4 linked regions of the Diceros bicornis minor genome follow. The protein of the gene in region 1 interacts with the protein of each later gene in a pairwise test. Links are inferred from orthologs where the notes say so. Each region holds a gene or a part of one and is shown in the gene's direction. Other genes may lie near its edges. The genes, in order: TPM3, LURAP1, TNNT1 and LCA5L.

Region 1 (7,326 bases):
CTGGACAGCTCTCGGTTTGAATCCTGGCTCTGTCACTTGCTGTCTGTGTGGCCTTGAGCAAGTTACTTTAACTTTCTGGATCACAGTTCCTTATATGTAAAATGGAGATAATGCCTACCTCACTGTCTTGCTGTGGGGATTAAGTAAAGCACTTAGCAGAGAGGTGGCACATAATGCCCAATAAATGGTAACCCAAATGATGTTTTCCTGCCCTATAATAGTTTTTTCCCTTTTTATTTCCTCTCCATTACATGGCTGCCCCCCACCTCTCACCACACTCCCTCACCAACTCCTTTGATTCCTCTTTCCTCTGTTCACTTGGACCCACAGAACACCCCACCCCCTCTGCCTTGATCCCTGACCTTGGCCTCTGTCCCCAGGGCTTGTCAGTGCCAGGCTGACTCCAATATTGGCAGACTGGCCCCCTACAGAGCCCATGTCCTCTGATCCTCTCTGCCTACTCTGTCTGCTCTCATCACATCAACTGAGTAGTTCACCCTATTACACCCATCTAGCCCCTTTCCCTCTGTGGCTGGTGCCTTCTCCAGCTCCTCTGGCTCAGAAGGGCTTAGTCTTGTTTGAAATGGCTGTATAGAAGGTATTTCCAGAATAGCCAGAAAGCTTTCATCAGAGGTTATCTGATGTTTCTGCCTAGTTATGCCATCCAAAGTGTCCTTCTAAGAAAGCTGCTCCTCCCTACATCAATATTCCCAGTCTCTTCCTCTGTTCCCCTAGTGCCCTAAACACTAAAGTCCTTAAGGGCCGGCCCCGTGGCTTAGCGGTTAAGTACTCGAGCTCTGCTGCTGGTGGCCCGGGTTCAGATCCCGGGTGCGCACCGACGCACCGCTTCTCCAGCCATGCTGAGGCCGTGTCCCACATACAGCAACTAGAAGGATGTGCAGCTGTGACATACAACTATCTACTGGGGCTTTGGGGGGAAAATAAATAAATAAAATTATAAAAAAAAAAAAAAAAAACACTAAAGTCCTTTCAATTCCTGCTAGTCCCTTTCTCAGCCTCTTTCCCTCCAGCCTCTGGTTCTCCAAGGTAGTCAAGGTTCCCAGAGAAGGGAACTAGAACTTGGGGGGTAAAAGTAAGAGGGACGGTCAAGAAAGTAAAAATTACACACAAACTCCCATTGAGAGCCATAAAGGAACAAGGACATAAGACAACACCACAGGTGCCTACTTTGGGGGCTTGTATGCCCATTTGTTAGTCTTCCCCTGGAAGGCAAGAGCCAAACAACAAGAATTGACTGAGGCTTGGGACAAGCTATCGATCTAGATCAAGGGCACTGTGGAGCTGGTATATGTGTTTGTGTGTGTGTGGGGGGGGGCGGGTGGTGTCTGGACTAATGGGAACAAGGACACATGGAACAGGCCTGGGGGCTGAAGCAGAGCATTCTCCTCCCACCCCCACACTTCCACCCAAGCCCTCCACCCCACCAGTGCAGCTATAACCCGGGGTCCTTTCTGCCACAGTAGAGAGAAGCATCTGCCTGCCACAAGACATTCAACAAACCGGATTCTCTTTGGAAGAAAAATCCCTCAGAAAGGAACCAGGCTGGATCCCTGTGAGGGAAGACTCTTAGAGAAGCCAACCCAGGAGTTCTTGCCGTAAAAAGCCCCAGAAGAGGAGAGTCCTAAGGACAGCAGGCTGCTCTCTGGCACAGGGGGTTTCCTCCCTCACCCTTGATCTCCTCAAGTCTTAGTTTCAATTCTGCCAGGCAGGGGAGACCATAAGTCTTCTTCTCTGGAGCGTGCCAGTGAGACATGTCACTCTTCTCTTCTGGACATCCAAGGGTGACTTTAAGGAGGATGACTGGAGGACATGGGAAGAAGGTGAGAAGGGACAAGATGGTGGGAAGCAGCAGCCAAGCATTCTGCAAGTTTCTTGTGGCTACTTATCTGTAGTACTCAAGAGCAGGAGGGTTCCAGGATGGTGTCACTGAAAAGCCGTCAGCAGTCTTGTGGGGGTGATATGGAAAGCTTAGGAGTTCTGTTGGAAAGGTAAAGCAGGAGGACAAGCCCCCCACCCCCACCCCCAGAAAGCCTCAGGGCAGCTGGAAGGGAGTTGAGAGCAGGTGGCTAGGCTGACGAGGAGCTGCTGACACTGCTGATCCTCTGGGCGCTGGGGCCGTGACATCAGGGGGAGAAGCTCTGTGTAGGAGCTTTAAAGAAGGATAGGTGCCCGGACATGAAGCCCTGCCAGATATTCTCCCTGGTTTAAGCCAACGTGATCCAGCAAAGGCCAGGCACTGGTAGGAGAGGAGCTGAGACAGGGACGGCACGAAGGGCAGATGAGTAAAAGCCAGCTGTCTTGGGAGGCAAAGAGCAGGGTTTGGTGCCCTTCCCCAGGGAGATGGCTCTCCATCTAGCCATGCTTGGTGCCTGGTGTTTCTGCTTTGTCCTTTCTTTGCAGTGGGGGGAAGGCAGGTGACCACCACAGCTCTCCTGCCTGCTTCTGTGTGATATGTTTGATATTGGGTTGTTTAATTAGGAACCAACTAAATGTCAAACATATTCTTACAGCAGTGGGCACTTTGGCATCACACTCTTTACTACTTCAACCTCCAGGGCTCTGGGGCTCCTGTCTTTTTTACTGAACCTCTTCTTTCCAGGACCCCTTTGGAACACTAGTGGCTGCAACCTACGAGGATTTCAGTCTTAAACTGGAGGACTAGTGTGGGAGCAGGAGAGTGCTGGAATTTGAGTATCAAATCTTCCTATATCTTTCCCTTATGCTAGAAGGAATATATCTCTGATTTTCTCCTGTCCTTGTATTTTTCTCCTCCTTATTCAAACCCCCCCCCCCATTATCCACTGCTTCCTGTCCCTGGGACTTCCTTGTTCCTAGTCCCACAGTAGGGGGCTTTGGTTTCTCTGCTTTCCTTAAAGAGTCAGCTGATGGCGTATCTGCCTATCTACCTCTAGTGACTGGAAGCTCTCAACAGTGGACTTCAGTTTTGCCCTCTGCCCTGGTGGGTGTCTCAGCTACCCCATTGCTGGGGCTTAGTATTAACACTACCCATCTATCCTTGACATAATGACTAATTAGATCCATTTATATTCTTCCTTGATAGCTCTGGTCACCTTGAATAGTGCCCACCTCTCCTCTGGCATATTCTCAGATTGTATGGTGCCAGTGTACTGGGATCAACTGCCACTTGTCAGTAATGAGGCCCCAAGTAGAAGAATGAACATGGCCTAGAACTAAGCAGGGGAGAATAGAGCTGGTAATGATGATTATGATGATGAGCGTGGGGGGGTTGGGGGTAAGAAGGGAGCAGAGGGTGGGGAGACGAGAAGACAGCAACACCTTGGTCTATGTGGATATAGAAGTTCTCTTTAAAGATCACTATGGGAAACAGAGGACATGATCCTATCTAGATTACTCTGACCCTCCCCTGCTTCTCTCCCCACCCCTCTTGAAGCTCTGGGATGGCCTTCCAGATCCCAACCCTACCCTCTTACTCCATCCCTGTGGCTCTTAAGGGGGAGGAATGATGTCTCTCTGCCAATTAGAGACTCTCAAAATAGCACAGTAATTTGATCTGGAGATCTGGGGGAATTGTCAAGGATCATGAGTGACCTCCCCTCCTCACTGTCCCTCAAGCTCCCTGAATACCAGGAATCAAAAGGTAAAACTCAACCAGTGGAGTTTGATCAGCATCCAACACAGTCCGGGTGAGAGTAAGGGGGAAGCTGAAGGGCAACTAGGATCCGCTGAGTGAAAACTACCATTCTAGAGTTGCCAAAGTACCCTTCTCTATTTCAATATTCTCCCCTCCCCTCTCCCTGCTTTTTAAAAACACCCATAGAGCTGCCCAGAGTAAGTGGAAAGTTTCAGGGTCAGGGAAAGCCTCTCCCCTCCCCCACTTTCCATTGTCTAAAATCAGCCTCAGCTGTTCCCCCATTTTTTTTTTTTTGCTGGTGATGTCAGTCCATCGGAGTGGCTCACCCTGTATTCCCCCAGGAGAACAATGATGGGGTGGAGGGAGGTGGAAAGACCATATTAGGAACAAGAGGTGGAGCCATGAGCAGAGATAAAGGCTCAAGTCTGGGGAACTCCTAGACACTCTGCCAGCAGCCCCTCCTTTCTTGCCCTAGTCTCCAGTTCTCCAGTGTTCACAGGTGAGCCCACCAACGGCCACTGCTCACGATGGAGGCCATCAAGAAAAAGATGCAGATGCTGAAGTTGGACAAGGAGAATGCTCTGGATCGGGCAGAGCAAGCTGAAGCTGAGCAGAAGCAGGCAGAAGAAAGAAGTAAACAGGTAGGCCCTGGCGTTGGTCTCTCTTAGCCGCTGGTGAACACGACTGTGAGATGAAAGAGGGTTTGCACGCAAAAAGGCAGTGACCACTGGTGCCAGCTTGTTCTTTGGGTGGGAGGGACTCTGCTTCTTCCCCAGCCTCACTGGATGGGCAGAGGACATCTAGTGTATCTGCCTCAGACTGCCTGTGTGACCTTTGGAAAGTCAAGGGCCCCTTCTGAGCTACAGAGTGTCTGCTAGATTTAAGTGGGAGTGGATCATGTTTTGGAAGAATCCCTGATTTCTAGAAGAAAAGGTGGGAGCTTGATATGCAACATCTCTTTTTCCTTAAATGGAGTAACAGGCATCTACACCCTGAGATATTTACCATCCCAGGGTCTTAGATGAAAACCCAGCATGGCTTGGTCATCATCTTAGGGTCAGATATCAAAGAGTCACAGGCCAAGGACATAGCATAACTCCTGGAGCAGTTGGCTAGAAGTGACTGGGGAGAAGGTATGTCTCTCTGGGGGATGGTAACATAAAGGTTGGGCTCAGGGGTCTGTCTTAAGAGCCCAGGGTCTGAGCCTGCACTGTTGTGTACAGTATGTTTTGTGTGTGATTCTTGGGGCTCCTATAGCTGGAAGATGAGCTGGCAGCCATGCAGAAGAAGCTGAAAGGGACAGAAGATGAGCTGGACAAGTATTCTGAAGCTTTGAAGGATGCCCAGGAGAAGCTGGAGCTGGCAGAGAAGAAGGCAGCTGATGTGAGTATTGGAAAGATGGTGGGTGGGGTTAATCTACACACACAGATGTTCATGTTATTATGACTAAATTCCAAAGACACTTGGACATATACAAAGTAAATTCATAGAACACAGACATAGATGCCCCTATACATTTTTGCATATAACCACATGTTGGCATACCCTTGTAATGGCATAAATTTCTTTTTTAAAGACATGGAGAATTCTGATTTTTGTCTCATTCCCAACCCAGGAATTTAATTATCTTTCCCAGGACCTGAACAAAGGGAGGGGACTCTAAATCCAGATTGCTATCACTTATCTATCCCACCTCCTCCCCCATGCCACATTCTTAGCTTTCAAGGCTTGGCACGTAGATATGTGTATTAATAGAGAAACTCTCATCTCTCAACTCCCCAGCAAAGTCAGCTCAGATTTCACAATGGGACAAAGGAGGTCACATTGACGCTGGCCCTACATGGGTTTATTTGTCTTGGCCAATGTGGGCATCTGCCCTTATGCCACAGAGATGTCATAGTAAGCACTGCTCATAGGGCAGCAGAGAGGATCTTAGAATGATAGACTATAACAGAAATAAGAAGAAATCTTAGAGGGTAAAGGTATCACCACCAGACCTTACCCTGTGACCTTGACGAAATTACTCAGCTTCTCTAGGGCTGAATTTTCCCATTTGAAAATGAAATTCTCGGGGCCGGCCTGGTGGCACAGCGGTTAAGTTCGCGCGGCCTGGGGTTCGCAGGTTTGGATCCTGGGCATGCACTGACGTACCGCTTGTCAAGCCATGCTGTCGCAGCGTCCCATATAAAGTAGAGGAAGATGGTCATGGATGTTAGCTTAGGGCCAATCTTCCTCAGCAACAAGAGAAGGATTGGCATCGGATGTTAGCTCAGGGCTGGTCTTCCTCACCAAAAAAAAATGAAATTCTCTTTTCTTCTTCAAGCTATCCAATAATCACCTACTTTCCTTCATCTTCAACCTTGAAGTTTATCACAAAGATGAATGAGAGACCACATAGGAAAGACTTTTGGAAGAAAAGTAACATAGGAATCTTAATAGCAACAAAAGAATGTCCTGGTATTGATGGAAATAGATTCAGTTCTCAGCACTGAGTTAATAGGAAAAGTGGAGCATGTATTTTTTAAAATAGCATTTGGTTTTGGAAAATAGCTAGAGAGACAACGTGGGTCGTTCACAAATGTTTTTGGATTCTCACATTTGGCCTCTTTGCTGTTAGGTTTCTGATCTTCTTTTTGGCTTTCCCCCATTATCTGTGGCCCCAGGAAGTGGTGAGGGTTGTTGAGTATATCATGCCAGAGGTCAGAGACATAAAGTGGATCATACACATTATATATATTCATAGTTTCCAAAAGTTTAGGCCACTGCAAACTACTAATTCTTCCTTCTTGAAAAACTGCAAAAAACACAGGTTACCCCCAGGGCTTTGGGCAAGTGCCTGATGGCCTGCTGGAGTTGCCTAACTTAGATTCCAGGTATAGGCGGATAGAGCTCTCTGGTTCCAATAAACAGGCATCGAGATAGAAGTTTTCACAAACTGGAACAATGTCATGTTAATAACAGTATTATGAGATGTTGGGTAACAACTCTCTGGGAAAGTCCTTAGGTTGAAACAGTAGTTATGTGGACTTCAGGAGGTGTTTGCAGGAGCAACGAAAAGAACTAACCAGTCTAACCTGAGATCTTGGGAGACAAAGAATGACATAGAGGCTCCAGACAATATATCAATATCATTGGGAAGATAAAGGAACTTCCTGGGGATGATTCTGTCTGTCCTAAGCTGTTTTACACACATACACACACACACACACACACACGCAGCGTCATCCTCCACCTAGACAGAGTCTATTCAGTATATTCATTTGAAAGAAGCTTCTCATATTTATATAGGAATCCACAAAAACCATTTAAATATGTAATGTGTGGGTAAAAAAATGCACTCAACTTCTCTCCCCCTTATTAGCTTTCCCAACAAGTCAATAAGTACCCTCAGAGATATGTAGGAGAACAAGAAATAGGAGAGGAAGGTTGTGGGCAGGAGGCAAAAATCTGTTAGGCCTGGTTAAGGTGGAAGCAGGAAGAAAGGTTTTCTCAAAGCTTAGTAGTCAGCAAACTATCACCTGTGGGGTAAATCTTGCCACAGCCTGGTTTTGTACAAAGTTTTACTGGAACATTGCCATGCCCATTCAGTTACATATTGTCTACTGGCTTTCTCCTTACCTGGAGTAGTTGCCACACCCTATGGCTCACAAAGCCAAAAATAGTTACTATCTGGCCCTTTACAGAAAAAGTTT
Region 2 (7,149 bases), on another chromosome or scaffold:
TAAAAGGCCCAAGACCCAGCCTTCTCAGTCCTAGAGCGGGCACAGGGCAGCGACCCACCCCCCCCTCCCCGTCCTCCGTCCTCGCCCCCTCCTACGTGACCCAACTCTTCTCCTCCCGGGGCTCGGGGCTCCCGACGACTCGGGCGACCTGCCCTGGCCGCGTCACCCCTCCAAGACCCCCGCCCGGAGGCACTCACGGCTCAGGGGCCGCGAGCCTCGCGGGAGCCCCGCTCGGGCCCGCACGGCTCGGCCCGGCGCGCCGAGGCCTCCGCCTCCTCCATGCCGCTCGCGGCCCCGCCCCGGCGCGGCCCGGCCCGCCTCCCCGCTTCCGCCGCCGCCGCCGCCGCGGGGTGAGAGGGCGGCGGGCGGCGCTTAGGGCGGCGCGGGCGGTCTGCAGCCCGTGACTCCGCGAGCGCTCGGAGCCGCGGCCGCTTCGCGGGCGGCGGGATGGGGGCTGCTGGGGGAGGGCAGCCTCTCCGCCGCCATCACTGCCGGATGGCAAAGCGATGCGAGTCGGAGTCCTAGAGCCTTGGACCAGACCCCACGGCGCTCCGGGGTCAGAGGGGCGACAAGCCTGGGACACAGCGACCCTGGCCCCTTGCTTGGGCGAGGCTTCTCCCAGGTCTGGGGCATGCAGGGCCTTTGGAGGCCGAGGGACATTAAAAACCTGATTCTGCTAATCACCTAGACCTTGGGCAAGTCACTTCAGGTCTTGGCGTAGGTTCCCTTCTCTGTGAAATAGGGGTGTGCTGATATGATGCAGACTGTATGCCAGTCAGTTTTAAACACTTTACTTATATTAACTCATTTAATTCCACAACAACCCCATGAGGTAGGTACTATTACTAATGAGGCCCAATGTCACCAAGCTGGGAGAGCTAGAATTCAAACCCAAGCGGCCTGGCTCCAGAGTCCACTCTTAACCCCTGCACCATAGTAATACTTAGAGAGTTGATGTGAAGGTTACATGAGATAATACATATAAAGCAGTTAGCTTAACACAGTGGTTCTTGAACTTGAGTGTGCATCAGAATCTGTTGGAGGGCTTGTTAAAACACAGATTGCTGGGGGGCTGGCCAGGTGGCGCAAGCGGTTAAGTGCGTGTGCTCCCGGGCGCACATGGACGCACTGCTTGTCAAGCCATGCTGTGGCAGCCGCCCATATAAAGTGGAGGAAGATGGGCATGGATGTTAGCCCAGGGCCAGTCTTCCTTGGCAAAAAAAAAAAAAAAAAAGAGGAGGATTGGCAGATGTTAGCTCAGGGCTCATCTCCTCACAAAAAAAAAACACAGATTGCTGGGCCCCATTCCTAGAAGTTGATTCAGTAATCTGGGGCAGAGAAGAATGCTGCATCTTTAAGAAGTTTCTAGGTGACAGTGACACTTATTTGAAGTAGGTAGCCATGGAACAGTTTTAAGCAGGAGAGCAACATAATCTGATTTAAAAGAACTTTTACCTTTTTGTGGAGAATGTGCTAATAGGAAACAGGACGCCAGAAGACCAGTTAGATTTTTCTGAGCTCTCCGTAGTCCATCTGTTTTCTAAATGGTGGGATGATATCCCCCAAAATGTTAACAGTACTTGTCTTAGGAGTTGAGGCAATAGGTGATTTTTCCTAATGACTACGTATTAGAACAGAAGAAAACTCAATACATTTTGTTATCATTTGAAAAAGATGTCCCTCAGTGTTCCTCCCTGACTCTCGTCTCTCCTCAAACTCAGTCTCCCTGAAGATCTCATCCCCTCTCCTGACCTCGGTTACCTTCTTGATTCCTAGACTCATATCTGCAGTCCTAACCTTTCTCCTGCGCTCCAGGCTGACCTGTGTCCAACTGCCTGCTGGACATCTTCACAGGCCCCTCCAACTCAACACGACTCCTGCTGGAATCATCTCTTCCCACTCCTGGACCTCTTCTTGGGCTCCCTTGCTTGGTGAATGGCCTCAGGCCAAACAGCTGGGAGTCACCCTTGATTCCTCTTCTCTGTTCAGCAACCAGTCCACGTCTGTGTGCTCATCACTTTATTCTCTGCACCACACACAATGGCTAGCACATAGTAGGCTCTCCATAATACTTATTGAAATCTGTCGTTTTTTGAACAAATATTTATTGAATGCCACTATAAATAAATGAGTGTAATTAGTCACCAAATCGTGTCAATATTACCCCCTAAAGAGTCCTTCATTCTGGTGTCATTCTTCTCCAACCTCACAACCAGCCCCTGGTGCAGTCCTTTTCGTTTGCTTGCCTTCCAACTGCTCTCCCTGACTCCAGATTTTTACTCCTCCAATCCTTTCTTCTTGCAAAATCCAGAGTAATTTTTCAAAAAAGGAAATCTGTTTTGTCAATCTCTGATTTAAAACCCTTTCATGAATCAAGAGATGTTAAGGAGAAATATATTACTTAAAATTACGAAGGTAGGGGCCGGCCCGGTGGCGCAAGCGGTTAAGTGCGCGCGCTCCGCTGCGGCGGCCCGGGGTTCGCTGGTTCGGATCCCGGGCGCGCACCGACGCACTGCTTGGTAAGCCATGCTGTGGCGGCGTCCCATATAAAGTGGAGGAAGATAGGCACAGATGTTAGCCCAGGGCCGTCTTCCTCAGCAAAAAAAGAGGAGGATTGGCGGATGTTAGCTCAGGGCTGATCTCCTCACAAAAAAAAAAAAAAAAAAAAAAAAATTACGAAGGTAACCATTGAATGAACTAAAAATAATGATAGAAATAAATAGGGCCAATGGAAGAAGGGAAGTAAGGAGTGTAAGTAAGGTAAGTTGTATTTATCATAATAGGAAGTCAGTAGACAATTTTTAAAATGAAGAACTAGTGATACAGTATAAACCTATGTGGTGTTATAGGTATAAACACCAGAAAAAAATAGCTAAAAGTGGTTGCCTCTGGGGAGTGGGACTAGAGGTGGGAAAGGATAGGGCAGGGGTAACTATGTTTTCATTGTAAATCCTTCGGTAACCATGGACTGGAATTACTTGGATTAAAATCCAAAACCAAGCCAAACCATAAAAAGTTTTTCATGGCTCCTCATTACCTGTGGAATAAAATCTAAGCACCTTAGAACCATTTTCCATTACCTTGTTGCTCAAAGTGTGTTCCCTGGACCAGCAGCATGGCCATTGCCTGAGAGCTTGTTAAAAATGCAGAAGTCCAGGCCTCACCCCAGATTTACAGAACAGTAATCTGCATATTAACAGGATTCTCAGATAATTCATATGCACAGTCAAGCTTAAGAAGCATCAGTATCAAGATCACGTATGATCTGGCCCTTGTGGACCTCTTCAGCTTCAATACTGGTTGCTCCTCATTGGCCAGAAGAACTTTCCTTTCCACTCCTTTAGTCTAAATTCAGTGGCCAGGGGCCGGCCCGTGGCTTGGCGGTTAAGTGCGTGCGCTCCACTACTGGCGGCCCGGGGTTCAGATCCCGGGCGCGCAGCCACGCACTGCTTCTCCAGCTGAGGCCGCGCCCCACATACAGCAACTAGAAGGATGTACAACTATGACATACAGCTATCTACTGGGGCTTTGGGGAAAAAAAAAAGGAGGAGGATTGGCAATAGATGTTAGCTCAGAGCCGGTCTTCGTCAACAAAAAGAGGAGGATTAGCATGGATGTTAGCTCAGGGCTGATATTCCTCCCCCAAAAAATAAATAAATAAAAAATAAATAAATAAATTCAGCGGCCACACTGTGGGTGTATGCGTGTGTGTCAGTGACTAGCTAAATTCTAATCACTGTTTTAGACCCAGCTCATCTACTCCAGGAAGCCTTCCAAAACCCTCTGCAGCTCTTTTATCACTGTTCCTTAAATTCCCATAGCTCTAACTGAGGATGCTTAGCCTTCATTCAGCAAACATTTATTGGGCGCCTGCTGTGTGCCTGGCTGGATTCAGTGCCAGGGTAGGGAGAAGGCGTTCAGCTCTCCGAGGGCTCCTTCAAGTCCAAACCCAGAATCGCCCAGCCGCACGCATTCCAGGGCCAGAGGCAGCGTGCGCAGCACTCGAATATATATATATACACACACGCAAACAGTGTCCTGCGCGGCTTTTCTGAGCGTTACGGCGCCCTCCTCCCGCCCCTACGCGGCGCGGGCGGGGACCCACCGGTTCCGCTCCGCATTAGCAGCGGAGAAAGGAGGACCCCCGGGAGCGGGATCCCGGCGTCTGGCCGCCCAAGCCCTGTTCAGGCTTAGGCCCGCATGGAGGGGACTGCGGAGTCCCAGACGCCTGACCTGCGAGACGTGGAGGGCAAGGTGGGCAGAAAGACCCCTGAAGGGCTGCTCCGCGGGCTGCAGCGAGGCGAGTGGGAACCGGGAACCTCTGGCGCCCTGATGCTCCCGGGGGCGCCGAGGACGGGCCACAGCCTGGGGGACAAGATCGTGGCGCTGAGGATGGAGCTGGTGAGTGTGGGCTGCACCTGCCAGAGGGACGGAGCCCCCCCCACATAGGACCGGAAGGGACGGACTCACGCCCCCAGAGTTGGGCTGGAGAGGAGAGAGTTAAAATTCCCCACCTGACTCCTCAGGATCCCTCCCTGATCAATCCTTACACCCTGGGGTCCATTAATTACAGACCCCCGCACCCCCACTCCCACCCCTCACCCTCACCCCAAGGATGAGTGGGGTATTGATGGGTCCTGAGGACCTGGGGTGGGAGGCACAGGTTTTTGGAAGTTTTTCCTGCCAAATAATTGGGAGGAGAGAGGTGAGAACTGGGACGCCCTGAGAACCTAGCACAGCACAAATCTCCCCCCTACCCCTCACTACCGGGCTGCCTATCCCCCAGCCACCATTACAGGGCAACCAGTTTTTTCTCCTCCTGCAAATTGGGCCCAGGGTTTGTTCCTCTGAGGCCCCGGTATTCACACAAGATTCAGCACAGAAGGGATTTGGGTGAAAACTGCCTGGACTGGGGCCACCAAAAACATCCTCTCTCCCCAACATCCCCCCACACCCACTTAAAGTATTTGAAAGTTCCTGGAACCTTAGCAGACAGAGCAACAGCACCATCAGTGTTGGCCCGGTCACTGACTCAGTCTCTTCCCCCCAGCTCCCCAGGTACACTGGATATTTGGATCTCGTCTGTACCTCCTTGGGGAGAAGAGGAGGAAACAGGCACCCTCCCCCTTCCCTGTTGCTGCTGGTCTAGATTCAGAGCCAAAAGGGCACTTGGGGCCCCCCCAGGCTCCCTAGGGCCCTGGTTCCGGTGAAGGGGCTGATTTACATCTGCCACCACTTTGCAGCCAGTTCTGGGGAACTGAGGAATTGCCAGCCACTTTCTGGCCCAGAACCAGGAGCCCACAGTGAGTGTGTCAGCCAATAGATCTTCCTGGAGCCCCACTGTGTGCCCAGCTCTGTGCCAGGCTGAGCTGTGAGGGAGCAGCAGGGGTGGGTGGGGGGAGGTCATGGGGTCCCAGACAGCTTGAGAGGCTGGAGAGAGCCTTGTGGGCAGAGCAATCAGGGAAGGTTCCTTGGGGGAAGGATTTGAATGCCATGTGTGCACTTGGCCTTGAAGGTTGGAGATAAGTGCCAAATTCTCCAGAGCGGGGCTGTGACTGTGTCCACCCAGGGAGGGGCCTGGCTTTGCCTCATTGTACTTTTAGCTGAAGGCCTAGAAAGAGCCTATCTAGAGTGTCTTGCTTTGGAAACTAACTTTTACCAAGTGCATGTGCCAGGCATCATGCTGAGCACTTGACAAGATGTTCTTTTAATCCTCACAGCAACCTATTGGGTAAGTGATACTTTATAGATGAAGAAACTGAGGCACAGAGAGGATGGTAACTGCCCAAGGTCATATAAAAAGTAAAAAGCAGAGCTAGGCTTTGCACCCAGATGATCTGCCTACACTTTGCATCTTTCCCATTGAGACCTGCTGCTTTGTACCAGACACTTAAAACACATTTTATGTCATTGAGGTGAGAAAAGCAGTCCTCATATTCCCCGTCTCACAGATGGAACATGCTGGCGAGTGTTAAGGGGCTTGCTTGAGTTCCCACAGGCAGCCAGTGGAGGAGCTGGGCCTGGGCTCTAACTCTTTCCTGCCTTTGGTGGAGATCACCTGTTTGTAAACTTTAACCTAGTACATTTAACTTCTGATTAGATCTCTCTGCATTCTTGACCCAGCCTGGCCTGGGGCCCTGATTAGGTCTCTCCGCATTCTTGACTCAGCCTGGCCTGGAGCCCTGGGCTGTCCATGAAGGGCATGAGGGAGAGAGCCTTCTAGGGGCTAGAACAGGGTCGGGCTTCTTATGTGCCCCAAGGATCCCTGCCCCATTCCTATCTCCCTCCTTGGGCCAGGATGTCATTGATCTCTTTGCGCTCTGCCCTGCCCACTGGGTTGCTCCTGGGGAGGACAAGGGGTGGGCCAGGAGGTTTCCCTTGGAGCCGCTTGTGGCAGAACCGGCCCAAGCCCTCTAAGTCCTGTCCTTCAGCTGTCCCTCTCCTGCAGGGAGGGGGCAGGCCTGCCCTTGAGGCCAAGGTCATCCCTGCCTCTAGCCTCTTCCCTGCTGCTTCCCTCCCCTACTCAAAGGTCTAGTGAACCAGCCAGACTCTGAAATATATGGGGAGTGGAAACAATGGCAACCTCTGGCTACTTAATCCTCCCACCCAAAAACTGCTGCTATGACAACCAGCCCCCACAGAGCAGTTTGAGGAAAAGCTTTAGGCAAGGAGGGGGAAGGCTTGGGTTCAAGTCCTGGCTCTGCTCCTGAATCATTTTGTGATCTTGAGCAGGGCCCTGACTCTCTTGGCCTCAGTTTTGGTGCTTCTTGGGGGATGCGGGTCAGGGGATTATGGGGCCAGATGGTCTCTAAAAGCCTTCTTAGTAACAATAGTCTGGGCATCTCAATCCACGACCAGGGAACTAGGGCTGGGAGGATCTCTGGGCTTTTACCTCAGGGCCTGATTTGGATTGAGTGATGTGGGAGCCATGCTTGTGACCTCAGGGCTGGGCAGAGAGTCTGATGTGGACATGTTAAGGGGAGGAGTGAGCAACCTGAATCCCCCTGGGAAGAGAATTGGGTTGGAGTGGCCTCTGAGGCTGCATCTCTCCTGAGCTGTTTATCCCGTTTCCAAAGAGATGGTGTGAAATGAGTGTTTCTTTTTCTGGCAAGAAAGCTTTGCTTGCTTCTATTCTGGGGAGTGATGCTG
Region 3 (7,770 bases), on another chromosome or scaffold:
CGGGCCCACCATTAACTCCCTTTCCTGGTTTCTCTCCCTGCAGGAGCGGCAATGCGGTGAGAGCAGGCGTGGGCTGGACCGGCAGGGCCGGCGAGGGCGCTGCGGGGAGGGGTCTGGGGAGGGACGCTGGAGCCCCAGGAGCGGGCATGGAGCGGGGCTGGGGGGTCCTGGTGGTGACGAGGCTCCGTTCCCCAACCCCAGGCGCCCGCCCCCATCCGACGCCGCTCCTCGGCCAACTACCGCGCCTACGCCACCGAGCCGCACGCCAAGGTGAGGGCGGGGCCCGCGCGGTGGGCGGGGCCGGGGCGGGGCCTCAGGTTACCCGCACCTTGGGAAGGAGGGGCGGAGCCAGGGCCTCAGTGGGGGCGGGACTTCGGTCATGGGCGAGCGGATGAGCGGCTTCAGGGGCGGAGTTTCTCACACAGCCGGGCTCGGATTGGTGAGAGCTGCCTATGGGTGGAGTTCCGTTGCCCGTGGGAACTGCGATTGCTTAGGGGATGGTGGGCGGTGCCTAGCCAGAGTCAGAGGCCCAGATTGGTGGATGGGGCTGAGGGGCGTGGCTTCCCGTAGTCTAAGAGCCGGAGTTGGAGGCAGCCCCAAATCTGGACCTGGCTTGCGGGGGGGGGAAGGGGGGGCTGCTCTGAAGTCCCTCCCACTGCTCACCTTCGGAACCCCGTCTCTGATCCTTCATTGCTCTGTGTCACCCTGGCAGAAAAAGTCTAAGATCTCCGCCTCGAGAAAACTGCAGCTGAAGGTGCGGATGGGCCTGGAGAGGGCGCCTAGGTGTCCTCGGGGGGGGCGGAGCTTGAAGGTTGGGGTGGGGCTTCGGGCGTGCGAGTGGGCGGGACTTGGCGTGGTGCGTTCCTGGGGGCGTGGCTTTGCGGCGGGGACCCACCTACGGGAGGGGCGTGGCCTTGGAATGGTGGACCTCGAGGGGACGGGTCTCTAAGGCGAAGGACGGGACTGGGATTCGAGGGCGGGGCGGGAGGAAGCAGCTTCCCCGAGAGCGCGGTCCTCATCCCGCTACCCCCGGGTGGGCGGTGGTCCACTCCGCAGACCCTGATGCTGCAGATTGCGAAGCAGGAGCTGGAGCGGGAGGCGGAGGAGCGGCGTGGAGAGAAGGGGCGGGCCCTGAGCACGCGGTGCCAGCCTCTGGAGTTGGCCGGGCTGGGCTTCGAGGAGCTGCAGGTACCGGTTCTAACCAGGGACTCTCTCTCAGCCCGGGGTCTGAGATTCCTACTCTCCGGTCTTGCATCCTTGGGACTCAGGAGTATAGGCACTATCCCCTTCTGCTCAGGACCTTGCGGTCCAATCTCCTAAACCTTACGTCGGGAGTTCAGAAATATGGCCTGCAGCTCCATGCTTGAGGGCTACAGTCTCAAAACCTAGAAGTCGGTTCCTGCAACTCGAATTCTGTCGGATTCTCAGGACTCTTGGCTCTGGAGTGCTGCTTTGTTCACAGTTCCCCAGAGTCCAGCTTCAATCTCCTCCCTCAGACCCAGGAGTCCAGGCCCCCAGCCCCTCCTCCCTCAGACCCAGGAGTCCAGGCCCCCAGCCCCTCCTCCCTCAGACTCAGGAGTCCAGGCCCCTAGCCTCTCCTCCCACAGACCCAGCAGTCTGGGTCCCCAGCCTTCCCCGCCCCACACACGCCACCGTTCCTCCACCAGGATTTGTGCCGACAGCTCCATGCCCGCGTGGACAAGGTTGATGAGGAGAGATACGACGTGGAGGCGAAAGTCACCAAGAACATCACGGAGGTGGGAGGCACTGGGCAGTGTGGGTCCCCTCAGGGTAGGGTGCAATGCCTGGGGCTGTGGTCTCAGCTTGCCCCCTGGCAGCTGCTTGTGGTTGCAGACACCAGGAGACCCAGGACAAGTCTGTGAGTCTGACAGGGAGTGGGCAGAAAGATGAGTACAGTATGCTCAGGGAAGGCTGTACCAGGCAGAGGGAACAGCACGTGCAAAAACCAGGAGGTGGAACAGTAGGAATATGCTTGTGGACATGTGTGGCTGGAGCTGAAGTGTTGGTAAATGAGCTCAGGTATGGGCCGGGGAACTGTGAGATGCAGGTAGCTGGACTGGGATGAGTCAGTGGTTTTCAGAGATGAGGCTGGGGCAGCTCCGGGAGGACTTCCAGTTCCGGAATGAGGAGCTTAGATTTTGTCCCAAAGGTGGTTGAGCTAGGGAGGGCCCGGATGCGGCCTGGATAGGATAGGAGGGGAGTTAGGGTGGAAGAGTGGGGCAAAGGGGAAGCAGAGGGGAGTCTCCACCTCCTCTTATGGCTGCCCCCAGATCGCAGATCTGACCCAGAAGATCTTTGACCTTCGGGGCAAGTTTAAGCGGCCCACCCTGCGGAGGGTGCGGATCTCTGCGGATGCCATGATGCAGGCGCTGCTGGGGGCCAGGGCTAAGGCGACCTTAGACCTGCGGGCCCACCTCAAGCAGGTGAAGAAGGAGGATACAGAGAAGGTGAGTGGGGCGAGGGCCAGGAAAGGGGGTGCTTAGAGGCGAGGATGTGGGAGGTGACAATGCCAGGGCCTGTCCTGAGGGCAGATGGTGCTTGGAGTGGTGGGGAGAAGTATCTGGTAAGGGTCCTCAACAGGAAGTACAGGAGGGACACAGGAAGTGCATGTGGGAGACAGGAAGTGCAGGAGGGAGACAGGAAGTGCAGGAGGGACACAGGAAGTGCATGTGGGAGACAGGAAGTGCAGGAGGGACACAGGAAGTGCATGTGGGAGACAGGAAGTGCAGGAGGGAGACAGGAAGTGCAGGAGGGAGACAGGAAGTGCAGGAGGGAGACAGGAAGTGCATGTGGGAAACAGGAAGTGCAGGAGGGAGACAGGAAGTGCATGTGGGAGACAGGAAGTGCAGGAGGGAGACAGGAAGTGCATGTGGGAAACAGGAAGTGCAGGAGGGAGACAGGAAGTGCATGGGGCAAATTGGAAGGGATTGTCTGAGGGGACAAGACGTGTTCCAGAACCAGGTTCTGGGACAGGCGTCCAGAATAGAGCAGCCCAGCAGGCTGGAGGGCAGCTGGAGGATATTCGAGAGATTGTGGACCAGGAAGAGACCCTAACCTCTGACTCTATTCCCCCAGGAAAACCGGGAGGTGGGAGACTGGCGCAAGAACATCGACGCGCTAAGCGGAATGGAGGGCCGCAAGAAAAAGTTTGAGGGCTGAGCTGGCCTGCCCACCGCTCTGGCCCTGAGGATGGCCTTGAGGAATAAAGCTTCTCTCTGAGCTGGGAGTGGCTGCGTGTCTCCTACCCGGGGGCTTAGGGGTGACAGAGATGGGAGACCTGAGGGCAGAGCTCCCCGAAAGCCACACCACACGCGAGGAGCTGAGCTGGGTCTCCAATATGGGGCGTTCTAGGCTCCTCTGCTCCACGCGGGCTGCACAGAGATGCCGAGACCAAGGCCCAAAGAGAGACAGAGACACAGACAGACAGACTGAGTCAGAGACAGTTACACAGAGCCAGAGACCCAAGGAGAGAGGGGGAAAAGGACAGAGAATCACAGAAAGAAATGCAAAGAAATGGAAAACAGAGAGACAGATACACACAGCGAGACAGAGACAAGGGAGACCCTACAGAGACAGAAACAGGGACCAAAGAGGAACAACTGCAGAGACACAAAGAGAGACCCCCAGAAAGAGCCAGAAAGATAGAGACATGGACACAGAGCCAGAGAGACAGAACTGGGGTCACAGACAGACATGCACGAGAGACCAGGAGACACAGACACCAACAGACAGACCCTGAGGGAGGCAGAGACGCAGAGACAAAAACATGCCAAGAGACATGCAGAGTGAAGAACACAGAGACAGAGAGAGACAGAGAGAGTCTGAAACAGAGAGCCAAAGAGACACCGCTGAGAAATGCATAGAAGACAGAAACAGAGATGGCAGACAGTGAGACAGAGACAGCAAGAGAGAGGCAGGGAGGGCGAGGAGTCCCGCTCTCCAGGGCCTGCTCCCCCACCCTTCAAGGTCACGGCTTGGCAGGGAAGCGGGGAGAGGGATACCAAAACAGACCAGTGTCAGATGGAGGTGGGGGGTGAGGTCCCGCGGGGCTGACACCCCACCCTCTCGCCTCCCCCGACACACACCTGTTTCCCAGCTTTAGTGCCTGTTGTCACCAGGGTGGAATCCCGGTGGCAGACAAAGGGGTGGGGGTGGGGAGGAGAAGACAAAGAGGGACAGAGACAGAGGGGGGAGCCTGAGAAGCAGAGAGAGATGCACAGAGACCCACAGACGGAGAGTCATAGAGACAGAGAAACAGGGTGTGAGAGGTGGAGGGCCAGAGAGACACAGAAAAAGTGACAAGAGCCATGCAAAGAGAAAGTGTCCCTTGTCCCCCTTTAGTCAATAAGCAGTCTCCAAGGGCCTACTGTGGGCTGAGCATGGGGACTTCAAAGCACAGGGTGCCCTGTGCTGTAAGGGAGGGGGGAGCCCCGGACCCAGCCCAGGGTTCCAGGAGGTGCTGATGGGGCAGAGGAGGGGGGTCCGAGCAGCCAGCAGGTGCCTGGATCCTGCCATGTGGAGCCTGAGTGGGGGCAGGGCAGCCTCTGACTGGGGACTCCGGTTTGGGGAAAGGCATTCTCTCTCCCTCCCTCTCCCCCCTCCCTCTCCCCCCTCCATCTCCCCCCTCCATCTCCCTCCTGGGGGCGGGGCTGAGCCTCCAGCTATAAACCCAGGGGTGCCTCAGTGGGGCCCAGCAAGACTCTGCCCCCGCCGGTTTACCGCCTCAGCAGACCCAGTCTTAGGTAAGGGGCCCTGGCCCTGCGGTGCCCTTGGGGGAGGGGCAGGAGGGGAGGGAGATGAGGGGTGTGGAGAATACGTATGGGGAAGGAGGGGGCAGGAAAATCAAGGTCTGGGAATTCCAGAGGCTCAGACTTTAGGGGGACTAAGAATGGAAGGGAAAGTGTTAGGATTTGGGTGTTACGGGATCCGGTGGTGCCAGGATTTGGGGAACAGAATATAAACTTAGGATCTCTCAGAGTCAGGGAATCTCAGAAATTGGGGGTATCTGGGCTTGGACGTCAAAGAGTCTGGGTGTCAGGATGGGGGTGGGTCTCAGAATCTGGGATTTTAGGAACTGAGGTCTCAGGATCTGAGGTCTTATGATTGGAGGCATCACAATTTGGAGTGTCATAATTCTGAGTGTCATGAACTGGGCCTCTGAGTTGGGGTATCCAGATTTTGGGGTCTCATGATCTTGAGGTTTCAGAATTTAGGGGGTGTCAATACCGGGGGGTCAAGATCTTGGGATGTGTCCCGGCCCATACTCTGGAGAGTCAAGAACCAGAGTGTCAGAATGGTCCTCAGAGAGCAAGAGCATCATACACTGGGGTCTCAGGATCTATGGCTATTGAGATTTGGGGGGACTCAAACTGGGCACCTTGGGGCCTGGGGGATCTCAGAGACTGGGGGCTCTAAGTATTTAGGGGTCAGGATGAGGTCTGTGGACAGAAGCTGCCCTCATGCCTCCTGCCCCCTCCACGGCTGTGGGTGAAGGTGAAGGAAGGAGACAGGTGGGAAGATGACCTGCCAGAGGGGAGGGGGGACTAACTCTCCCAGAAGCCCCCCCATCCCTTCTTAGGAAATGTCCTCTGTTTCACTGGCTGCGACATCCCCTCAAAATAGCCCCTGGGGGTGGGGCAGCTATTGTCTTCAGGCCACTGTCCCTTCCCAAATACCTTCTCCTAATCCCCACTCAGATCAGGTTCCCATGGACAGGTCCTAAGACAAAAGATGACAGCTGTGCTGAGGGCGTGGGGGCTGCAGGCCTGGGGCTCTGCCTGGGCCACACCTCCCAATGCCCTGTCCTCATGCACACTCCAGGCCTCTGGCCCCTCCTCCCTCAGACCCAGGAGTCCAGGCCCCCAGCTCCTCCTCCCTCAGACCCAGGAGTCCAGGCCCCCAGCCCCTCCTCCCTCAGACCAGGAGTCCAGACCCCAACACCCTCCTCCTTCTGGACCCCACCCCATTGCGTCTGTTCTCTGTGGTCCGTAGGTCACACCAGGATGTCGGAAACGGAAGAGCAGGAATATGAGGAGTGAGTGATGCTGGCGGGAGGGGCTGGGGGTTTGGAGAAGAGGAGACACTCTCCCACCTCCAACGCATCTAACTTTCCCCCTCCCTCTTTCCCTCCCACTCGGTCCTCAGGGAGCAGCCGGAAGGTGAGTGGACGGTGCGCTGGCCCTGGGGAGGTGGGAACACCCATGCGCGTAGCGTATGGGAAGCGCGAGATGGTGCGGCCCCTTCCCAGCAGGGAGCCGGGGAGAGAGGCGGGTTAGCCCACCCCGCCCGACGCCCACCCTCTGGAGCGTTTCCAGGAAATCTCCCACGGCCAATGGGAAAAGCGCACGGTGCCCATTTGCACCTGAGGCCCAGAGGGGTCCCCCCCGCCCAGCTGAGACTCGAAGACCGCTCTCTGGCCACCCCCACATCTGAATAAAGGCCCAGCCGCCCCCGGCCCCCCCGGGCTCCTAACGCCCTCCCTTCTCTGCCCCGCCCCTTCCAGAAGAGGAGGCTGCCCCCGCCGAGGAGGAGGAGGAAGGTGAGGCCCTGGCCTCAGCAGGTCTGGAGCTGGACGCGGGGCCCCGCCGGGCCCGGGTGGGGTGGGGACACTCGTCCAGGGGTGGAGGCTGGCGGGGCACGGGGGTCCCGAAGGCCTCGGCTTCAGTTCCTTTAACAGCCTCTCCCCTCTCTCCCCTCTCTCCCCCTCCCGCACCCGGCGTGGCCGCTCCCCCACCCCGCTCCCTCCCCCCCCCCGGCTCCCCCAATCCTCGCTTCTCCTCCTGCCCCCTCCCCAGCCACCGAGGAGCCGGAGCTGGTGGCAGAGCGAGGTAATCGCGGCTGCTTCGCTTCTCGAGACCGATTTCGGGGGCCCTGACCTCCGCGATGACTCCCTCCCGCCCCCATAACCCGCCCCAGGCCCGGTCCTTTAAGCCCCGGAGCGCCCGCGCGCCCTCTGGTGGCCACGAAGGGAAAATCACCTCGCAGCGGCTTTAACCCTTTCCCTTCCTTCTTAAAGGGACCGACACCCAAGCCTTCTTCCCCAGCCTGGAGGAATACTTACAGAAGGGTTGGATGTTTGCGGAGGGGCACCACCCCATCCCCCCTCATCTTCGCCCCCTACCCTGTCTGTTATTTTTCTTCTCCATATACATTCAAAGGTTGGGGCCTAGGTTGCAGAAGGGGCTAGCACTGGGAGTCCGGGTTCCTGTGTCCCCAAGGGGGAGGGGACTGGGAACACAGCTCCTGGGCCACCGATAGAAGAGAAGGTTTGGGGCCCCCCTGCACTGCTAGGTCTTGTTGGAGGAGGGCAGGAGCTCTGGGTATGTACAAGGAGGAGGGTCTGGGGATTTGGACCCTTGGGTTCCCAGGAAAGTGGGAGGGGATCCCCACACCAGTTCTGAATGTATATCTGATGCGTGTGATTCTCCTCCTCCTTCTGGCCACCCTGATTTCCCTTCTCTCCTTTTCTCCTTTCCTGCCCCCCCCCCCAGAGCAACAGGAGGAGGGAACTGGGCTCCTGGGGACTGAGGCTTGCGGGGGTTCCCTTCTCTGGGTGTGTCAAGCCCATCCCCATGAACTCTTGCTAATTATCTCTTTGTATCCCCCCAACAGAAGAGGAGCGCCCCAAACCAAGGTGAGATCTTGGGGGGGGTCCCAATCACGTCCTCCTAAATGTGTCCCCCACCCCCAGAGATAGGGTGTGAGAAAGGCAGAGGAGGAGAGTGGGGAAATTGAAACGGAGGACAGCAC
Region 4 (7,062 bases), on another chromosome or scaffold:
ATGATTAAGTAAGCTAAGGTATGTAAGCTCCTACCTCTGCGCTTGGCATACGCAGGGGGTGGTCGGGGGGTGATTATTCAAGCATTTAAAAATAGTGGTTGTGTGGCAGCACTATGCTAGGCCTGAAGTTACAACAGGAACAAGACACACCCTCTATCTTCAGGGAGTTTTCAGGCTAATGGGATTACACAAGCATTTGTTCTCGCTAAAACAGTTGATGGGGAAATAGACTGACTCTTGGTTGCATCTCTCGAAGACACTAGCAGTGCCCTTGCAGTCCTGGGATTTGGCACAGAATGACTCTTCCAGGAGGGGAAATTAGCATGTGTTGATTGCTGACTGTGTGGCAGGTACCGGGACGGGTGTTTTACAAGCACTGTCTCATTTCCCCTATGATAACCCTATGAAATCCATGTCGTTATTCACATTTTATAGATGGCCAAGATCACCTGATCTAATAAGTGACAGACCCAGGTTCAAACCCAAGTCAATCTGCCTTCAGTTTGTCTGTCACCTTCTACCCTGTCACACTCCCCTATGGCAGCTGTTGAAAAATTTGTGACTATAACATGAAAAACACTCTTGACGTAAGCCTTCATCCTACAATGAGAAGATTTCTCAAGGGAGTGCTCTGAGGTGGGGAAGGAGGAGGAAATTCTTATAGGGCTTTCTCAGGAGAGGTCAGGCCAAGTTTAGCTTGTGTCAGGAACAACTGGTCAAAAACAAATTCTTCTTACAGATTAGCAACCAATGTTTGGGCAATTTGAATTTATTAGGATGGGTGGGGAGGAACTTAGGGGATAAGGGCATGAGCAAGAAGGCGTGGAGTGGGACAGTTTCCAGGACAAGGACAGATGAGGCTTTGAGTGTGACATCCAAGCATTTTTGGTCCTTCAGGGTCTCTTACACCAATATCTGGGTCTCTTAATCCTGGTGCAAAAGTTCAAAACTAAAAATGTTTACCTGTGCTTCTGCCCACTGTCACATGGTAGAACGTGTCTGGAAAGATCAAGTCTTTGATTTAGGATTGTGTAATGTTACCACCAGGGTGTAGTTTGCAGTCAATGCTTAATGAAAACACTCCTGACCTTGAAGCTGGAAAACATGGGCAATCACTTAACCTGTCTGAGCCTGTTCCCTTCTCACAGCCAGGATCAGAGGATGTGAGCGCAGTTTGTAGAAAGTCAAAGCACGTTAAGTATTGAGTATAATGCTAATATTACTAGTCAAGTGATTTGGGCTAAGATTCCTGTAGGAGGAAGATTATGAACTGCCTAACATATTTCATCAGGAGAGGAGAAAGCTCGAGAGTCAAGCAGATGCAGAAGAGGCAGAAACTGATTTAAAAAAAAAAAAAATCTCTCAGTAGAGAGAGTGATATTAGATTCCTGTGGGGAAGGAGCTGACGCCAGCTAACTTTTTTGGCTTTTTTGATAAATCCGGAGAATTGAGAGTATTAAATGGAAAAATAACCCTTTTAAAGACCCCAGGAGATGGATTCCTTTGTTTCCAACTGCTCTTGAGGTGGGCTGACATAAGAGAGACCCTGGTGGCATTATTGTGCCTCAGTGCTGTAGCACTATAAAGAATGCAGAACCGTCAGGTTTGTAACGAAAGTCAGGTTTTATTGAGGGCGTACATTTGGGGTCCTTCTTGTGTTTGATTTCCTGTTCTCTCCATTTTAAATTCTCACTTCAGACAACTAAGAGGCTTATCAAAAGTATCAAAAGTGTGTGCACGTTGGAATCCACTGTTTCTAAATTATCAAGGATAAGGGCTAAGCGAAAAGTTATTGTAGTAGCCGAGCTCTCTTGGAGATGGACTCATTGTTCTTCATATGAAACTCCTGGATTGTTAGGGAGTGTGCCTTTAGCTTGAGCTGTCTTCTCTCCCCGAGTCCTCAGATCAAGACAAGAAGCTGAGTGCAGTGTTGCAGACCTTAGGGGGCACGTGTGGGAGAGTCTGTGTGAAACAAATAGGAGAGAGACTGTCATCTAGCCTTGTTTGTCACACAGATTATTCAGTTCAGTCGAGTTTAATACTAGTGCCTATGCCCTATACCAAGAATTTAAAAGTAAAATGGAAGTAAAATACAATAATTTTTTTTTTCACTGAATGTTAAGCAAGATGCTAGGAGCAAAAAGCTGAGGAGTTATTTTAGCTACCTGGAACCCTGAAGCAATCTGGGAAGCTGCTTTGGGGAATAATTCACCAAACTAAAATCCATAAATGAAGAACTACTATGTTTAAATTACTTTAAAACTGTTCTTAGTTATAATCAAATCCACCCTAAATAAAAGAAGTGTGACTCTGTAGAGGTCTTAATTCAGTACATTTTTGAGTCATGGTCTTTGGTTACAAGGACTTTCAACTATGTGGTATTATACGCCCCTGATTAGAAATTAGGATCACACCGTCAAATTTCATTTTCATTTTTAGCTTTTGTCTGTGTGTGTGTGTGTGTGTGTGTGTGTGTGTGTGTGTGTGTGAGAGGAAGATCAGCTCTGAGCTAACATCTGTTGCCAGTCCTCTTTTTGCTGAGGAAGATGGGCCCTGGACTAGCATCCATGCCTCTCTTCCTCTGCTTTATACGGGACATTGCCACAGCATGGCTTGATGAGCAGTGTGCACACCCGGGATCTGAACCCACAAACCCGGGGCGCCGAGGCAGAGCAAGGGAACTTAACTGCTATGCCACCGGGCCAGCCCCCTCATTTTTAGCTTTTAAAACACATTTCTTTGAAGTCTACTCTAGTTTACTCTTGTTTAGTTCCCAAATAAGATTTTAACTTTTCACATTGTATAGTTAAACTTATAATAATTAGGCAAACTTAGTTTTGATTTTTCCAAATCCATTATTTATAAAAGTTTGTGTTTTGTGTAGCTGAAAATATGATCAGTTCTTTATTAAACAAATGTAAAATTTCCATTTGGTGGATTTTCTTCCAAAAGGTTCCAATCCCTGGATGATTTTCCCATGTAAATCATGTTTTTCTGAATTGTCTCTTCTGTCGTCATGTAGTATATAATCAAGGAAATCATATTCATGTTATAATAGTCTAAATAAAGCATAAAAAGGAATGCAAATTTCCTGAATTAAAATATAAAGAACCTTATAATCATGGATCAAGTTTACATCACTGTTACCCACTATTACTCTTAATTTTAGAATAAATATTAGCTCTAGAAACCTAGTAGATTAATTGATTATATTCTACTCTATATGTTTAATCTCAAAAGTATGTGATTTCATCATTAATAAATAAAAGTGTGTGCATCTCCACAAATATGTCTGAATTTCATTTACTAAATGTTGCATTTCATACCAGCCGCCTAAACTTACCACATACTGTCATTTTCTTCAGTTCTGATCAAGGCAGAAAATCCCAATGGCCAGCCTTAAAGAATGAGAATGGTATACCTGAAATTACACAGTGTTATAAGCCAATATGACCTCAATAAAATAATTAAATTTTAAAAAAGAAAACAAGGGGCTGGCCCGGTGGTGTAGTGGTTAAGTTCACACACTCCACTTCGGTGGCCTGGGGTTCGCAGGTTCAGATCCCTGGTGTGGAGACTGCTCATCAAGCCATGCTGTGGTGGCGTCCCATATACAAAATGGGGGAAGATTGGCACAGATGTTAGCTCAGGGCGAATCTTCCTCACCAAAAAATGAAAAGTAACAGAATGAGAAGGTAACTCACTAATTCATAAATTATTAGCGATATTATTTTCTGATATGAACTTGATCTTGTAGTACTGTGAATATAATCTCACCAAAGTTTGGTCTCAGGAGTCTTATAATTTATGTAGAAAAAATATAAAAACCAAACTGAAAATTTTTCAGAAAATACTTCAAAGTAATGTGTTGTTTCACATTCCTAATTATCCATTTAGAGTTAAACATAACAAAGCATAGATTCATTTTAATGTCAATAGCTATAAATCTAAACATACTTTTCTTCTATCAGGTTGTTTACTATGTCTTGGGCCCATCCGACAGAAACAATAGATGAGCATTTCCCCAGTGTGGCATTAGAAAACCGTACAAGGTCCGCAGAGTGCACGACCTGCCCGGACACAGGCGATTGTCCGAGGAACAGTAACGCTTCCAATAAGAGCGTTGATTATAGCCGATCTCAGTGTTCCTGCAGAAGTTTAAGTTCTCGCTACGATTATTCAGAAGACTTTCTCTCTGAATGTTCAGAAACAGCTGTCAATAGAAATTATTTAGAGAAGCCTGCGGTAAAAGAAAAAGAGGAGAAGAAAAAGTATAATGTTTCTAAAATCTCCCAACCTAAAGGTAAGAAGCAGAATTTCCCAACCGAGACCAAATTTCTGGTTATAACAACATTGCTGTTTAATTCACTAGTATTTGATGTGGTCCATGTTCTGTTTCATTATTTTCTCATATTGTAAATGTGTATTATAAGTGAACATTTATATGAGGAAATAGAGAAATTAAGAATAATTACAAAATAACAGAAAGTTGGGCTTAAAATGTAAAACCTAGCCCTCTTGCATGGCTTACACTGCTGGAGCCTACAAGTGAGGTTAGTTCCGTTTTTAGTTAACAGGTGGCCTTGTTACAGAGTACCACAATACCTGGATTTCAGTGGCATCTTGCCTTTCATCTTAGCTGAAGAATCAAGGTTTGAATCGCCAAAGAAATATAAATACCTGTCTCAACTCCCCAAGAAGATGGTCTCCAAGTCCGGTGAGGCATAGTGGCAAAGACAATCTTTTGAAACAGAGGTGGTTCAAAAAGCTATTAGTAGGGTCATTTCTTTGTGGATTTTAAAAGTACCAACACCAAAAAAAAGAAAAAAGTACCAACACCATCAACTTGTAACTGTCCAAATTGGAATTAGCCTTGTGATAATCTTGATCTCCTCACTCCCCACCTCCCTGCCCAGAATGTGACTACTTCCTCCCATTTTAGGCAATCCTGGGCTTATAAATATTCCTTGTGTAGAAATAGCTGGGACTCTTTTCCACTGTGACCATCAGAACTGCTGTCAGTCAACAGCTGGAAAATAGTTAAGAGCCTCCGATGTGGGGGGCACATCCACAGTCACATTTATCCAGTATCTCTCATCCCCAGCCTGCTATGACCAGGTGTGCCTAGCACCACCTGGGCTACTTCTAGATCCTCTAAAATCTTCAGTTCCCCTTCTTCCTAGCTATAGAGCAGGGATTCTTTATGTAAGACCCATGTCTATGAACCCCATGAAGTTCTATGCATTTTTGTGTCTATTTGTGTTTGTGAACTTTTCTAGGGAGAAGGACCCATAGCTTTCACCAGATTCTCAAAAAGCTACAGGCCCCTTTTCTAGAGACGTGGGAGTCGTACACCCACTGGCAAGGCCTAGGACAGGAGATGAAAAGTCCAGTTCCTTCTCTCACAGTGGGACTCTGTCCAGAGAAGTCTGTTCATGGTATCTGGAAGAGAGTTTCACCACAGAACATACACCGTGGTTAGGTTTTACAGTTACCCAATCCCTTAGCTGCATTTGAAATTTACAAAACTCTGAAAACCAAACATTTTTCATATCTTTGGCACCAAAACTGACTTGGCAACAAAAACTTGATTTGAACTGACATGAGACTGATCTTTGTTTATCTCACTTACTGTGAATAGTCATATGTTTCACTACAAAAATATTCTTTGATTAAAGTCTGCTGTCCCAAACCCTACTGGGAATACTCTGGAAAATACCATATATGCACCATAAAAAATAAACCTCTAAAAATTCAGAAACAGTCTGGCCACAAGGGTTTATGACAAGAGATCATGGATCCATACACTACATTTTATATAGAGTCTAGGCTTTTGTGGGACTGTATGAGATTTATAAAACTATTTCTGTAAGAAATGAACTGAATTTTGAGTTCTAAGCACCTTATAATTTAACTTGTTAAAACTGTTTCCTCATTTATTTATTCCACAAATATTTATTGTGTCTTTTATGCAAGATACCTGGTCATAAATTAGGAGCAACCTAAATTAATTCAGTCACTTCACACTGGACTAGAATCCTAAGTTCCGTTATCTGAAGAGTGAAGGTTTGTTCTCACTTTTTTGTGAGAACTCTTTTGTGGTACTCTTTTGTGTACAAATACTCTGAAATTATTTGAAATAAATCTTGGATGCATCTTTAACTCAAATTTTGTATGTCCCTGAGGATCCTTGCACCAGGGTATGATGTACTTAAAACACTCATTGTAACATCAAAGCTTTGTCACAGAATGATAAAGTATTTCCTTGGTTCATTCTTTTGTTCCCTTACAGCTCATGTTTCGCAAGAGTTTGCCAAAGAAATTTAAGCAGCAAGTAATTAAGTAATTAATTAATTCTGGGGTAATATAATTCTAACTCAAACAAAGAGGTTTAATGTTCTAGCCCATGCAGCCCCTTCTCGAGTGAATGTTCCGTGTCTGTTCAGCTTCCTGATATATTAAAAGTAAATCTCTGACCTTGGGGGCTGGTAACCCCAGATTGTGAACCACCAATACAGACCCAGAATTCACGAGAGAACAATAACATCAGAGATTATTTTCAGTTCCCCTCTTAGAAAAGCAAATTTTATGGCAGAAAAATATTTCAGAGAAAAATTGTAAGAATACAATGAGGACTTCAATTTGATAGGATTTTTGCTTTGGTCAGATATTGGAGATTTACTTAAATAGCAAGCAATATATTTCTACAATTCGATTTTCAAAAATTAGTTATTCCTTCTTTTGTAGAAAATGTACTTTCAGAACTCTTTTGATTATATACCCTTCCTTGATGTGTTTTGTCAGTACAATGCCAAAACCTGTGATTCATTCAAAAAATTGGTATATCAAGAAAGAAGTCATTTTGCTGCCTTTAGTTGCTTGGGACGCCTTTTGCCCTGTTGTCTGTAGTCAGGTGTAGGCAGAAGACCTCAGGGAGCGCCGAAGGGACTCCCTCTCCAGCAGACTAACACCAGGAACCACAGAGAACAGAAAGGGGAAAGGCCTTCCTTTCAGCCTCTTCTCACCTGGTCCTTGGAGGAAGTGGGCCATCTCTTTTTAGGT

The links.
Region 2: the proteins of TPM3 (region 1) and LURAP1 interact in binary tests that used the Homo sapiens proteins (3 or more experiments, as listed by UniProt). The two-hybrid records come from large-scale screens. The link is inferred for Diceros bicornis minor from reciprocal best matches to the Homo sapiens genes TPM3 and LURAP1.
Region 3: the proteins of TPM3 (region 1) and TNNT1 interact in binary tests that used the Homo sapiens proteins (3 or more experiments, as listed by UniProt). The two-hybrid records come from large-scale screens. The link is inferred for Diceros bicornis minor from reciprocal best matches to the Homo sapiens genes TPM3 and TNNT1.
Region 4: the proteins of TPM3 (region 1) and LCA5L interact in binary tests that used the Homo sapiens proteins (3 or more experiments, as listed by UniProt). The two-hybrid records come from large-scale screens. The link is inferred for Diceros bicornis minor from reciprocal best matches to the Homo sapiens genes TPM3 and LCA5L.

The regions. Positions count from the first base shown.
Region 1 is NC_080743.1:58,274,028-58,281,353, reverse strand, and holds the start of TPM3 (tropomyosin alpha-3 chain), read left to right. Parts: upstream 1-4,146; 5' UTR 4,147-4,161; coding exon 4,162-4,275; intron 4,276-4,891; coding exon 4,892-5,017; intron 5,018-7,326. UniProt on the Homo sapiens protein: Binds to actin filaments in muscle and non-muscle cells. Plays a central role, in association with the troponin complex, in the calcium dependent regulation of vertebrate striated muscle contraction.
Region 2 is NC_080752.1:9,099,195-9,106,343, forward strand, and holds the start of LURAP1 (leucine rich adaptor protein 1), read left to right. Parts: upstream 1-4,070; 5' UTR 4,071-4,200; coding exon 4,201-4,401; intron 4,402-7,149. UniProt on the Homo sapiens protein: Acts as an activator of the canonical NF-kappa-B pathway and drive the production of pro-inflammatory cytokines. Promotes the antigen (Ag)-presenting and priming function of dendritic cells via the canonical NF-kappa-B pathway.
Region 3 is NC_080773.1:33,187,462-33,195,231, reverse strand, and holds the start of TNNT1 (troponin T, slow skeletal muscle), read left to right. Parts: upstream 1-4,699; 5' UTR 4,700-4,763; intron 4,764-5,953; exon of another isoform or gene 5,954-6,012; 5' UTR 6,013-6,023; coding exon 6,024-6,055; intron 6,056-6,165; coding exon 6,166-6,179; intron 6,180-6,523; coding exon 6,524-6,559; coding exon of another isoform or gene 6,560-6,580; intron 6,581-6,815; coding exon 6,816-6,848; intron 6,849-7,036; coding exon 7,037-7,087; intron 7,088-7,632; coding exon 7,633-7,654; intron 7,655-7,770. Other genes in the region: TNNI3 (troponin I, cardiac muscle), read left to right, coding at 44-56, 202-270, 426-439, 571-754, 1,057-1,188, 1,668-1,757, 2,292-2,468, 3,097-3,180. UniProt on the Homo sapiens protein: Troponin T is the tropomyosin-binding subunit of troponin, the thin filament regulatory complex which confers calcium-sensitivity to striated muscle actomyosin ATPase activity.
Region 4 is NC_080766.1:39,373,932-39,380,993, reverse strand, and holds the start of LCA5L (lebercilin-like protein), read left to right. Parts: upstream 1-3,981; coding exon 3,982-4,303; intron 4,304-4,570; coding exon 4,571-4,717; intron 4,718-7,062.